Linked DNA regions of Arabidopsis thaliana. The protein of the gene in region 2 interacts with the protein of the main gene of each other region in a pairwise test. Each region holds a gene or a part of one and is shown on either strand. Other genes may lie near its edges.

What was found.
Region 1: the proteins of PLDALPHA1 (region 2) and ACBP1 interact in a two-hybrid assay, tested with the Arabidopsis thaliana proteins (one study listed by BioGRID).

What each region holds. Positions count from the first base shown.
Region 1 is NC_003076.8:21,708,251-21,713,418, reverse strand, and holds ACBP1 (acyl-CoA binding protein 1), read right to left. Parts: upstream 3,250-5,168; 5' UTR 2,923-3,249; coding exon 2,465-2,922; intron 2,079-2,464; coding exon 1,976-2,078; intron 1,854-1,975; coding exon 1,765-1,853; intron 1,562-1,764; coding exon 1,470-1,561; intron 1,389-1,469; coding exon 1,291-1,388; intron 1,205-1,290; coding exon 1,028-1,204; 3' UTR 805-1,027; downstream 1-804. Other genes in the region: GLT1 (NADH-dependent glutamate synthase 1), read right to left, coding at 3,790-4,050, 4,141-4,398, 4,528-4,795, 4,898-5,168. UniProt on the Arabidopsis thaliana protein: Binds medium- and long-chain acyl-CoA esters with very high affinity. Can interact in vitro with arachidonyl-CoA, barely with oleoyl-CoA, but not with palmitoyl-CoA.
Region 2 is NC_003074.8:5,328,386-5,334,309, reverse strand, and holds PLDALPHA1 (phospholipase D alpha 1), read right to left. Parts: upstream 4,117-5,924; 5' UTR 3,891-4,116; intron 3,484-3,890; 5' UTR 3,476-3,483; coding exon 3,380-3,475; intron 3,257-3,379; coding exon 1,354-3,256; intron 1,270-1,353; coding exon 836-1,269; 3' UTR 565-835; downstream 1-564. Other genes in the region: AT3G15740 (RING/U-box superfamily protein), read left to right, coding at 1-431. UniProt on the Arabidopsis thaliana protein: Hydrolyzes glycerol-phospholipids at the terminal phosphodiesteric bond to generate phosphatidic acids (PA).

The DNA.
Region 1 (5,168 bases), on a different chromosome or scaffold from region 2:
GAAGCCCAGAAGGAAGAGAGAGAGAGAGAGAGAAGAAAAAAATCAGTTCCAGCGAAAAAGGGAAGAGAGAGAGAGAAGAGAAGAGAAGAATCGGATGTGAAGATGGACTTTAAATTTTATTATTAAACTTTTAACCAAATATTTATATAAACAAATAAAAAAACTGTTTTGAACACAAATTATGTAAATCTATTAATTTTGAAATTGTTTTCCAAACTTATATATATTTGTACTCAATTGTATATTTAGGTTTTGTTCAGTGTATCCTAATATTTTTATAAAAACTATATATAGGAAAATATCTTTTAAAATTACCCAATTAAAAAAAAGTTGTATAAATCTTCTAAATATGAAAATTTGTTTCCAATCATAATTGTTTGTTCAGTGTATCTTATTTTTTTCAAATAAAAACATAAATAGAAAAAAATCTGAATTACCCAATATATATATAAAAAGGGAAAATATTTTTCTTTATGATTTTTGCACACTAAAAATATATTTCTGATTAAAGAATTGATATAATCTGGAGTGATTATGTCGTACATCGCGTGTTGGGTGGTCCTTATCTGAACCCCACCTTATATATTCTCATCGTTAATTAATCAACGGTCCGGATTGTTTTACAGCGAGATGCGAAGAAGAAGATTTTTTTTCTTTTCTTATTCCGAAGGTACAATTTGTATCATATTTAAAATACTTATAAATTTTACAAGTAATCAACAAAATTGTTTTACAGGTATGATAATAATGATTCAGATGGCTGAAAAAACATGAAAGGGTCACGAACGAAAGAGAGAAACATTATACTAACAAAAAAAAAACTATTATTGAGTTATGATGATTGATGATGATGATCTCTCTGGGTTCAATATAGTAACCAATAAAAACTAGAGCTACTATATCATATGTAACTTGTGTTGTTGTATGTTAAAACATAAGCTTAAGAGGAAGCAAAGAGGCTCAGAGGAAATGTAAGAAAAACACAAGCATCTAGCTTTGACACACAATTTTAAAGACTTAAAAAACACTAATTGGAATCCTTCTTCTCTCGCATCCAAGACCATTCTGATTCACAGAGATCAAGAGGCGAGTTTCCGTCTTCGTCTTTAATGGTTGTATCAGCTTTCTGCTTCACCAGAAACTCGGCGAGTGCTTCTCTTTCGCACACAACAGCATAGTGTAGAGAGGTTTGGCCTTCATTGTCCTGCACAAAGTTTGTCAGCGACAAAAACATAAAAGTCTGTAATTGAGAGAAAGAATTAGTTTAGGGGGTTTTGGTTATTTATTTACTTTAGCATTCACATCTGCGTTCTTATCAACCAGAGCTTCAGCAACGTTAAGATGGCCACGGTCTATAGCCCAATGCAGTGGTGTTCGACCTTCACTATCTGACATTTCCAAGATGGAGAAACTGTTAAGTTTCCAAACCAGATCCGAACATTCTGTGAAAATGATACAAGACTACTAACCTCTTGCATTTACGGGTATGCCATTTTCTATGCATTTCAATAGATTCTCGACTTCTCCTTCTCTAGCAAAGGCGTGTATGGCGTCAATCTTCCTGGAACATGGAGTAAGAACGCAAGAATGAACAGAGCTTCTACTATGATTTAAACTAACACATGATTCTTTGATCTACCTAAGGTGAGTATTATGATATATACATTCCTTCTCTGATCTAGTCAGCTAGTCATATAGAGAAACTGAGAAAAGAAAACCAAAAGTTCATAGATGAATCTGTAACTAATTGCTTAGGAACCTTACAACTCATTGTCAGATTCCTCTTCGTACACCAATGAGCTAAAAACCGGTCCCATGGGGCCTGCAGCCTCACCACTCCGATTTCTTCGTTTCTAATAGTCCGCAACGAAGCAAACAAGCCAAGAAATAAAGACAGATTTAAGAACGAAAACAGACCATCCATAAACAGTCCAAAGAAATGGGAATAACAGAAGCAGGTAAGAAGACAACTAACCGAGCCACCTTCAACCCAAGCTGGGTAAAGCTGAGTAACAAGGTCGATATACTTCTCCATCGCTTCCTCAGGAGGCATAGCACCCAATTTCTGCCATGCTTGCCTAGAACAAAAAAGATCATAACAAATCTCAGTCGATCAAAATGCATCCCTAAGTTACCAATCAACAAAACAACAAAAGCAAATCCTTTCGGTACTCACACAAAGCAAGATACATCCAGGATGAAGAATAATCAGTACATCACAAGTAAACATGATTAAGTAACAATCTTCACAGTCATAAGATTTGAATCAGATCACTAATCAATACACCAACAAAAGCAATCCTTTCCATACATTAGCAATGAAAGATACGAACTTGGTGAAATCAAAATAATATACATCCATGATCAAGAAACATCAGTACATCACAAGTAAACATGATCAAGCAATCATCTTTCACAGTCCCAAACATTTGAATCAGAGAATCAATAAGAGTGTTAGACAAACCACTTGGCACGAGCAGTCATTTTAAGAGCTGATGGTTGAGGAGCAGTACAAGGTCCTTCAGTAGCAATTTTATACAATCCATAAAGCTGAAGTTGCAACTCATTAGAAACTTTCTGCGAAAGCCTATCCGATGCAGCAGCAGCAACAAAAGCCGTAGCAGCACTAAATGCCTCATCAAGTTCTGTACTTTCGACACCTTCCCAATCATCATCATCTGATTCATCTTCATCACCTCTCAAGCTACCTTGCTCAGCTATAAGAGAATCAGTCTCGCCGCTAATCCCAGTTAAAGTTTCGACCTTTCGCAAGTTCTCATACTCCGATTGAGTCGTGTGGTTACGAGTGAGTGAGAGATTCTCGTCTTTAAAAGCGAGGAGGATAGAGATTAGCTTAGCGAGAAGGTAAGCGAAGATCAAACCAAAGATTATAGACTGTGCAAGCTGATACCAATCAGCCATTTCCCCCAAATCGAATAAGAAAGTAAACCCAATAGAGATTCAAACACAACGAACTCGAAATCTGAGAAAATGAACCCTAAATTTCAAAGAAGGGTCACAATAACGCATCTCCAGAAACAAAAAGGAGCCACCTTTTTGGAACTCTTGTTTTCACCGCTTCACAATTTTCTTTTTCTTTACTTTTTTTTTGTTTTCTCTTTGTGGGCTTGTCTTTTGTTGAAGACCAGAGACAACTGAGGAATTACACGTAGGATTGAATGGTTGCGACGAGAGACAACTGACGAATCCGTTTGTTAATTGGACCGCTTTTCATCTACCAACTGGTTGGGACCGAGAAAAAATGAAGAAATTTGTTGGAGACAAACTACATACCGGTTTTACATACCTCAATCTTCACTGTGTAATTGAAGATCATTTTTTTCACTATTTTACTGAGCAAGTCTTATGATTCCTAACATTGTTTACAGTTTACACCACCATAAATAATATGAAAGAACACAAAGAGGGCAAAAACAAGAAGCAGGAACTGCATTACAATTCCTTAAAATTCAAACTTAGAAACAGCCATAGAGAAAAAACAAAAGGCTTTCAATTTCAGAAAGCTTTAACAAAAGAAAGCTACTGAAATCCTACAAAGAGAATGTACTTATGAATCATTATTACTTTATGGACGATAATAAACAAAAACAAACCTAAACTTTTACTTCTCTCTACTAAATCATCAAGTTCGGTACTTTTCCTCTGCAACTCTCTTCCTTCATCTCTGCCATAAGTCGGTCCTTTACGCCTGTGTGTCCTCTAAAAGAGTAACATCAGTTGTCTTTCTCTCTCGACTTTTGCTTCAGATGAGTAAGGCTTTCTTTTACCTCAGTTTGTGATAGTGTTGTGTTTCATCTGGTTAAGGTCTTGTTGTAGCTTGGCGTCTTCGTCATCATCCGTTTTGGTGAGGAATTTGTCTACCTGATCTGCAGCTTGACGTCCTTCTGAGATAGCCCAGACAACCAAAGACTGGCCTCTCCGACAATCACCTGCTGCGAAAACACCTTCCACGGTTGTGGAAAACCGGCCATACTCGGCCTTAAAGTTTGACCTGTTGTCACATTCGAGACCTAGCTTCTCAGCAAGTGTCTGTAAAAACAAAAACAAGCAATTGGTTTTAAATCATTGCCACAAGACCCACAATATATAAGAAGAGGGTACACAACGGGAATCACTTACTGGCTCAGGTCCAAGGAAACCCATGGCCAAGAAAACGAGGTCTGCTTCAATGATTTCCTCAGAGCCTTCGATCTCCTTGAACTGGAACCTCCCGGTTTCATCCTTCTCCCAACTCACACGCACAAGTTCAAGCCCCTTCACGTTTCCATTGTCATCTCCTATGAACCTCTTCGTTAAGACCTCATAGGTCCTAGGGTCTTTTCCGAATTTGGTGGTAGCTTCTTGATGTCCGTAGTCAATACGGAATACACGAGGCCACTGTATTCACACGGAAGCTCATTAAAATCAACAATATCCAACCTTGCTCACAACTCTTTTTAATCCAATGGATGCAAAAATCTTGAAGAAGTTGCTAAAAGGATTGAGTGTAGAAGATCTGAAACAAACCTGTGGCCAAGGGTTTCCAGGAGCTCTTGTTGAGGGTGGCTGAGGAAGAAGTTCTAGGTTTACAATGTTGGTACATCCATGGCGGATAGATGTTCCGATGCAATCTGTGCCGGTATCACCTCCACCAATAACAACAACCTTTTTCCCTTTTGCAGAAATGTAATTGCCATCCTCATGATTGCTGTCAAGTAAACTTTTGGTGTTTGCATGAAGAAACTCCATGGCAAAGTGAACACCAGATAGATCACGACCAGGCACTGGAAGATCTCTGCAAAATTACCCCAATAATGTCTCGGTTAGTTCACCATAATCCATTTGAACGTCTGGTAACATAAATAGGAATTCAGCATTGTTTGAAACAAAATATTACCTTGGTTTTGTGGAACCAACAGCAAGAACGATTGCATCATTCTCTTCCTTAAGTCCATCAAGGGAGTAAGATGGGTCCTTTCCAATATTGGCATTGACCACAAAGTTGATACCTTCTTTGGTCATAAGATCAACCCGCCGTTGAACGACGTCAATTTTGTCAGTCTTCATGTTTGGTACTCCATACATCATCAGCCCACCAATTCTGTCCGAGCGCTCATACACGGTTACTAAATGGCCCATTTTGTTCAGCTGGTCAGCCGCAGCTAACC
Region 2 (5,924 bases):
ACGGTGATCATTCACTAGCCATCGTCTATCACATTCTAGATTCGCTCCAAGTCCCTCCTTATTCTGCTATTGTTAACACTCTTGCTGATGAGATTAAGGATTTGAAGAAAGATGGTGCGAAAGACGTGGAGAGGGTACAAGTAAAGATAGGTGTTACTGTCTCGAGGTTTCCCGGTGAAGATGATCACGTAGATGTGCAAGTGCAACTTGCGGTTGCTCCAGCGAACGATGAGGCGGTGGAGATGCACTTGGAGACGCTTGTTGTTGAGAATGAAGGCTATTGTGTGATATGCATGGATAATATCCGAGTTGGGTCAGATGTGGAAGCGGGTCGAATGCCGTGTTCGCATGTGTTTCATCGTACTTGTGGAGAGGAATGGCTTAGGAACAGTGGGATTTGTCCGGTGTGTCGTGCCCTGTTTCCGGCTTAAAACTTTAAAACCCCTTTTGTATTAGTTTTGTGCTATATGAACCCTAGTTTCATGCTTTATCTCTAGATTGTCACTTTCACTTTTCTAATGAAGTATGTTTTACCTAGTTCATTGCTATTTTTGTTTAAACTTTGATGTGAAACACACTAAATAAAAAGAAAAGGATCAGATATAAGATTCATAAGTCCAAAGGTACATAACAACAACAAAACAAGATCACAAAGCTACATTCTCTCACCACGTCATTGTACGAATATAAAAACCAAAGGGGTAAAGAAGTGCATCATCATAACAACCATTTGACTTCTTAATTCTAAAGGTAGACACTCAAGTTTTATTCAAAGCTACAACAGCAGCAAAGCAGAGAGGGAGAGAGAGATCATTACTTGACATGCTTAGTGAGATTAGGTTGTAAGGATTGGAGGCAGGTAGTCTGATTTGGTGCCGAGGATACGGGCCTTTGTGTCCGGGAAGAATTCAAATCCTGGAAGCTCAGTGATGTCGCCTTCGCTGGCTACACCGATCGGGTAGCGGAGCAAGTGACCAGGAAGGTCATGTTCGAGTGACTCACTTGAGTAAAAGTCCCAATACTTGTCAGAAATGCGGTTAACTTTCTCAATGCATTCCAAGCTTGATGGATCGAGGAAGGTTTCATCGAGCATTCCCAGGTGTTCGTACCAGAGTGACATACGAAACCCATGGATCTGGCCACGAGCTGGTTGTCTATGGGACAAGTGATGTGGTTGATAACCTCCCATTGCTATCTCAGAGTCTCTTGCACCGTCCATTGACCTCTGGTTGATGTTAGCAGACCCAATGATAATGTATTCATCGTCAACTGCAAAATGGATTTCATCAAATGAATCAGGCACAACATTTATGTATACTTCTCAAGTTTTTTTCCGTTGAAATGTGAACTTACCGATCATCATTTTGGTGTGGACGTAAATCATGAAACGGCGTGCTTCTTGCGCCCTCATGTAATCAGTGTCGGGGTCTGGTTTCTCAGCAGGCTCATACTCTCCATCTTTCTTGACCTCACGGTTTCCAAGACAGAAGAATGTCAGATAGTTTCTTGGATCTTCCTCAAGACCCTGGGCCCTGAGAGCCTGAATCACATCCTTGTACATCATCTCCATGGTCCTCCTCTGCCAGTCTAATATAGCTTGCACTGATCCACTCTCTGGGAGACCTTCTGGCCACATTGGAACCACAACATAGACCCTGAACTTCTCTCCTTTCTCAATCTTGCTAACTATCTTCAGCGACAACTCTTTTGGGATTAAGTGCAGGGCATTGATGTCCTCAGGAGTAATACCATCGGCTGCCCAAGCAAAAGAACTCCCAAGGAAGTACTGGTTTTCAACGTAGATGAAATCCTTAGCACGTCTGATTGCATGAATGTAAGCATCTTGGATACTCCTATCAATGATGTTATCTTTCCCACTTACAAGCCCGGCTTCCGCAGCAGCTTCAGGCGACTCGGGAAACCCAGCAGCAGCTCCTCCATCAATGGACCTAAACAATTGGACATTCCACACATCGTGGTCCTCTTGGAACATAACAGGAGAAGGGGTGATAATAATATCACTAAGATCTCTCAACTTAACCAGAATGTCTTTACCACCCTGCTTGCTCCATCTCTGCTCGAAGTTGTACATGACATCCCAAGCAATTGGACCTTCAAGACGGGAGTGAATGTCATGCCAAGGCTCCCTTGGACCACCTTTAGTGATAGCAGCACCAGTGAAGTTAGGTTGATGGAAGTCATCATGGTGGACTGTGTCCAATGTCCTGAACAAGGAGTGGAACGGAGTGTCGTATCTTCCATCACAAAGATCAATACCGCCAACAAAACTCACAATTCTCCTCATTTCTGATCCTCCTCTGCTTGGCATCTCGCTGTCCACAACAACGATTTTCTGATGATGCGTGAACATAGTAGAGATCTGCAAACTTTGGACTATGCTACCACCGTCATCCGGGTTACGAGGGCACAGAATACAATGGACATCACTTCCCCTGAAGAAATTCTCGGTCTCTTCATCATGAGTAGCCATGAGCCCATCTTTCTTCAGCACATCAACAGAAGTTCTGTCATCCCAAACAAGCAAAAGAACCCTGACACCTTCACTAGCCTTCTTCTTGAGTAGCTCACCAATGGTCACATCACCTCCAGGCTTAGGCCTCCTCGAGTCCCTCACTAAAGCAATCTCAGCGTAAACAGACCAACCAGTAATGTAGATCAAGTGTTTTGCATTGCTAATAGCATCAAAAATATCCTCCCAACATCTTTGAGGCTCATAGTTCTTCCCTCCAGCGAGAGGAATTCTAGGGACAAAGTTGTCTGGAATATGAGCATCTTGGTACAGAGAAACTTTGCAGCCTTGTCTCTGCGAGAAGAATGTGTATGGCACTCCAGGGAACTTGGCACTTTTGATACCCATGTTCCAGTTACGATCCTCCTCAACATGGAAATATTGAAGCTTGACATGAATCTTTGATCCTCCCTGAATAGGGTTTCTGTCATTATCCAAGATCTCAACCCACTGATCCACTTCCTCGCCGTTAATGACTTGATCAACAGGAATGTAAGCTCTTCCGATAAGGGTAGCTCCAATGGGATTATCATCTTTAACAGTGAAGATGATATCAGAAGCCAAGTGAGCACAGTAAATATGAAACGACTCATACCACTTTGGGTTCTTAGGTTCATTTTTGATCTTCCTGGTTCTCCCAACTCTAGCTTTTTGCAGATCAATCGTCGCATACAACTGTGTTTCTCCTTTACCAACACCAATCGTCTCTTCTACATTTGCCAGAATCTGAAAGTTTCATCAGAAAAATAAAGATCAAACTGTGTATTAGTCCACAGACTAATTTGAACTACAAAATAAGACGTCAGGATTGGCGCAAAAATGATGCAATAACAATGGATCTTATTATACCTTGCCAAGGAAGCCTTGCCTAACACCACCACCATGGAGGGCATCAACTTCATAGATGGTAGCATGTAAAGTCCCGTGCAACAGATGCTGCGCCATTTTTTCACCTTTAGCAATAAGAATTGACCAGAACACAATATTAGTTTCTGAAAAAACTAAAAAAAAAGAAAAGCGAGATCTACGAATCTCAAAGATCTGGTATCAAAATTTTAGAGCAGCTAAATTTTCGCAGTATTGTCCTAAAAACAAGGAACACTAGTTGAATAGTGAAACTAAAGTCACTGATCTAACTCAAAACTAAAGATCGTATCAGTGTAACACTAGAGGACAATAGCAAATGAACCCGATCGTTGATTATCCAAAAAGAAAAAAAAAAAAGTCAGCGAGTTCCACTTATCTCACAAAACAAAGAACCACCTAAATGATCAAACGAGTTTTAATCGCAAAACAAGTAAAGAGAAACATAAAGATAAAATGAATGAGATTCATAGAGATGAAGTAGAGAAATACTAACTTCGAATTATTCCCAGAAACTGAGATCTGATCGGAGAAACTCAATCGTTCGGTGGTCAGAAGAAGAATTCGGGATCTGGTCCGTGATGGAAGCTCTTTAAGAGCTACTTTGTGGAGCTGCTGTAATTTAATTGGAGCGTGTGGGGCCACTTTTTCATTATTTTCTACAGATCTTTGATGATTTAATAGTGACCCAACGTACGAATTGTTATTAGTTTCAGCCCTACACGTTTTTAGTTTCACAATTAGGCCCTAAATAGTTACTCTCAAGAGATTCCTTTCAATTTATAACTTATAATATATAGTTAATGTTACTAGATAACGATATAATTGTGGTTGGATTATGTTATCTCACATCCTAATAGTAATATTTTACGTTACATCTAAAATTATATAATAGAGTGAAAAAGATAAAATGGAAAGTTTAGTGACTAATTGAAAATCTTGAAAAGTTTTAAGAAGGCCGACATAAAAAAAGGAAATAAATATTCAAAGTTGTAATAAAATCCCTGACTTGAGGATAGGGGAGACAAAAAAAAAAAAGAGATATCCAAATCGTGCGCCCGACGTTCTGCATCCAAACGTTACGACATCGTTTCCCAAGCTGAATCCTCACCGTCCATCACAAGAAAACTATATGGTGTACTTTTCTCAAGTAGTACGTGTTCGCATAATGACATGAATTCACTAGCAATAATTTAATTGCTTCATCATTGGATCTCACACATCTTCGCTATAAGATTGGGTAGTTTTTTTTTTCGTTTTTTTTGGGTAAAGAAGAATGTGATAGTTGTATAAAATATTACTCCTCATAAACGGAACGTGGCCACATGGGGATTATACAATGTATTTGCATTCTCTGGTATCTAATAAGTTCTAATGTACTAACCATCAGCAAAACCGTCAATCATAAAAATGCGGTGAAGAACAGATCAGAGGTGTCTCATATATGGGGATCAAAGGGAAAATTAAGACAGTATTGGCAACTCGGCGTAATGCTAAATTGTAACACAATGGTAGGATACAAGGGAGCTTATTTTGGAGCTTATTCCCCTATCTATGTTTATTATTTAGCAATGCTCACGGCAAGGTTTCTGATACGCAGCCACCGCTCACCGGTGACTTGTCTGAAAAATCTGGACTTAAAATAACCCAATTCCTTTGTTTTGCTTCTATATTAGCTTATTTTAGAAAATAGGACTTTTGAATTTTAGTTGACCCAAGGAAAAAATGAAGAAGGGACGTAGAAACTAGAAATTTAGGTGCTATTGATATTTGAATATGGGCCATAATTGGGCCTGGTGATTTAACATTCTGTACACGTATTTAGGCCTGTATCTTGGAATGATTTTTTTTTTTTGTGGTAGGGTAAAACTTGGAATGAAATTTAGGTGCACCTATTGATATTGTCCGACTGTCTGAACTGAATTTGATAAGTAGTACGTGAATCTTTAACTGTTTAGTAGGAAAAAAAAGAAAAAAAATCAAAAGAATATTACTATAATTAAACTACAATAAGTACATAATTAGTTTTTTTTTTTTTCTTATAAGCAAAAAGAAAAAAGCTAAAATAGAAAACCCAAAAGCGAAGCCGAAGAAAAGAAACTAAAAGCGAATCATGAAAGTCAAAAATAGACAGAAAAGATAAGAACATCTCCATCAGTAGTCTCTAGTATGGTTTTTCACTAACTAAAAAATATAAAATAATAATAAAGTAGGAGAGAGAGAAAAGTAAATAATAGGTTACATTTTAATAGGTTAAATTATTATTTTCAGAATAATTATTTAAGTAAATAATAATATTATATGATAATAATTAAAAAACAATATTTTAAGATAATCCACCTAATTTTACCGTTGAAGATGGCCTAAGAAGCAAACACAAGTTTCTTCGGATAGATTATATAAATGTTTTTTGGCTCAACATCTTCTTCAAACTAAAAGTTTGAAAGGAATTACTAATTAGTTATACGATCCGGTTTATCAATCACAACAGATAACCGTCGTCATATAAAACCAAGGAACTAGAATCGGG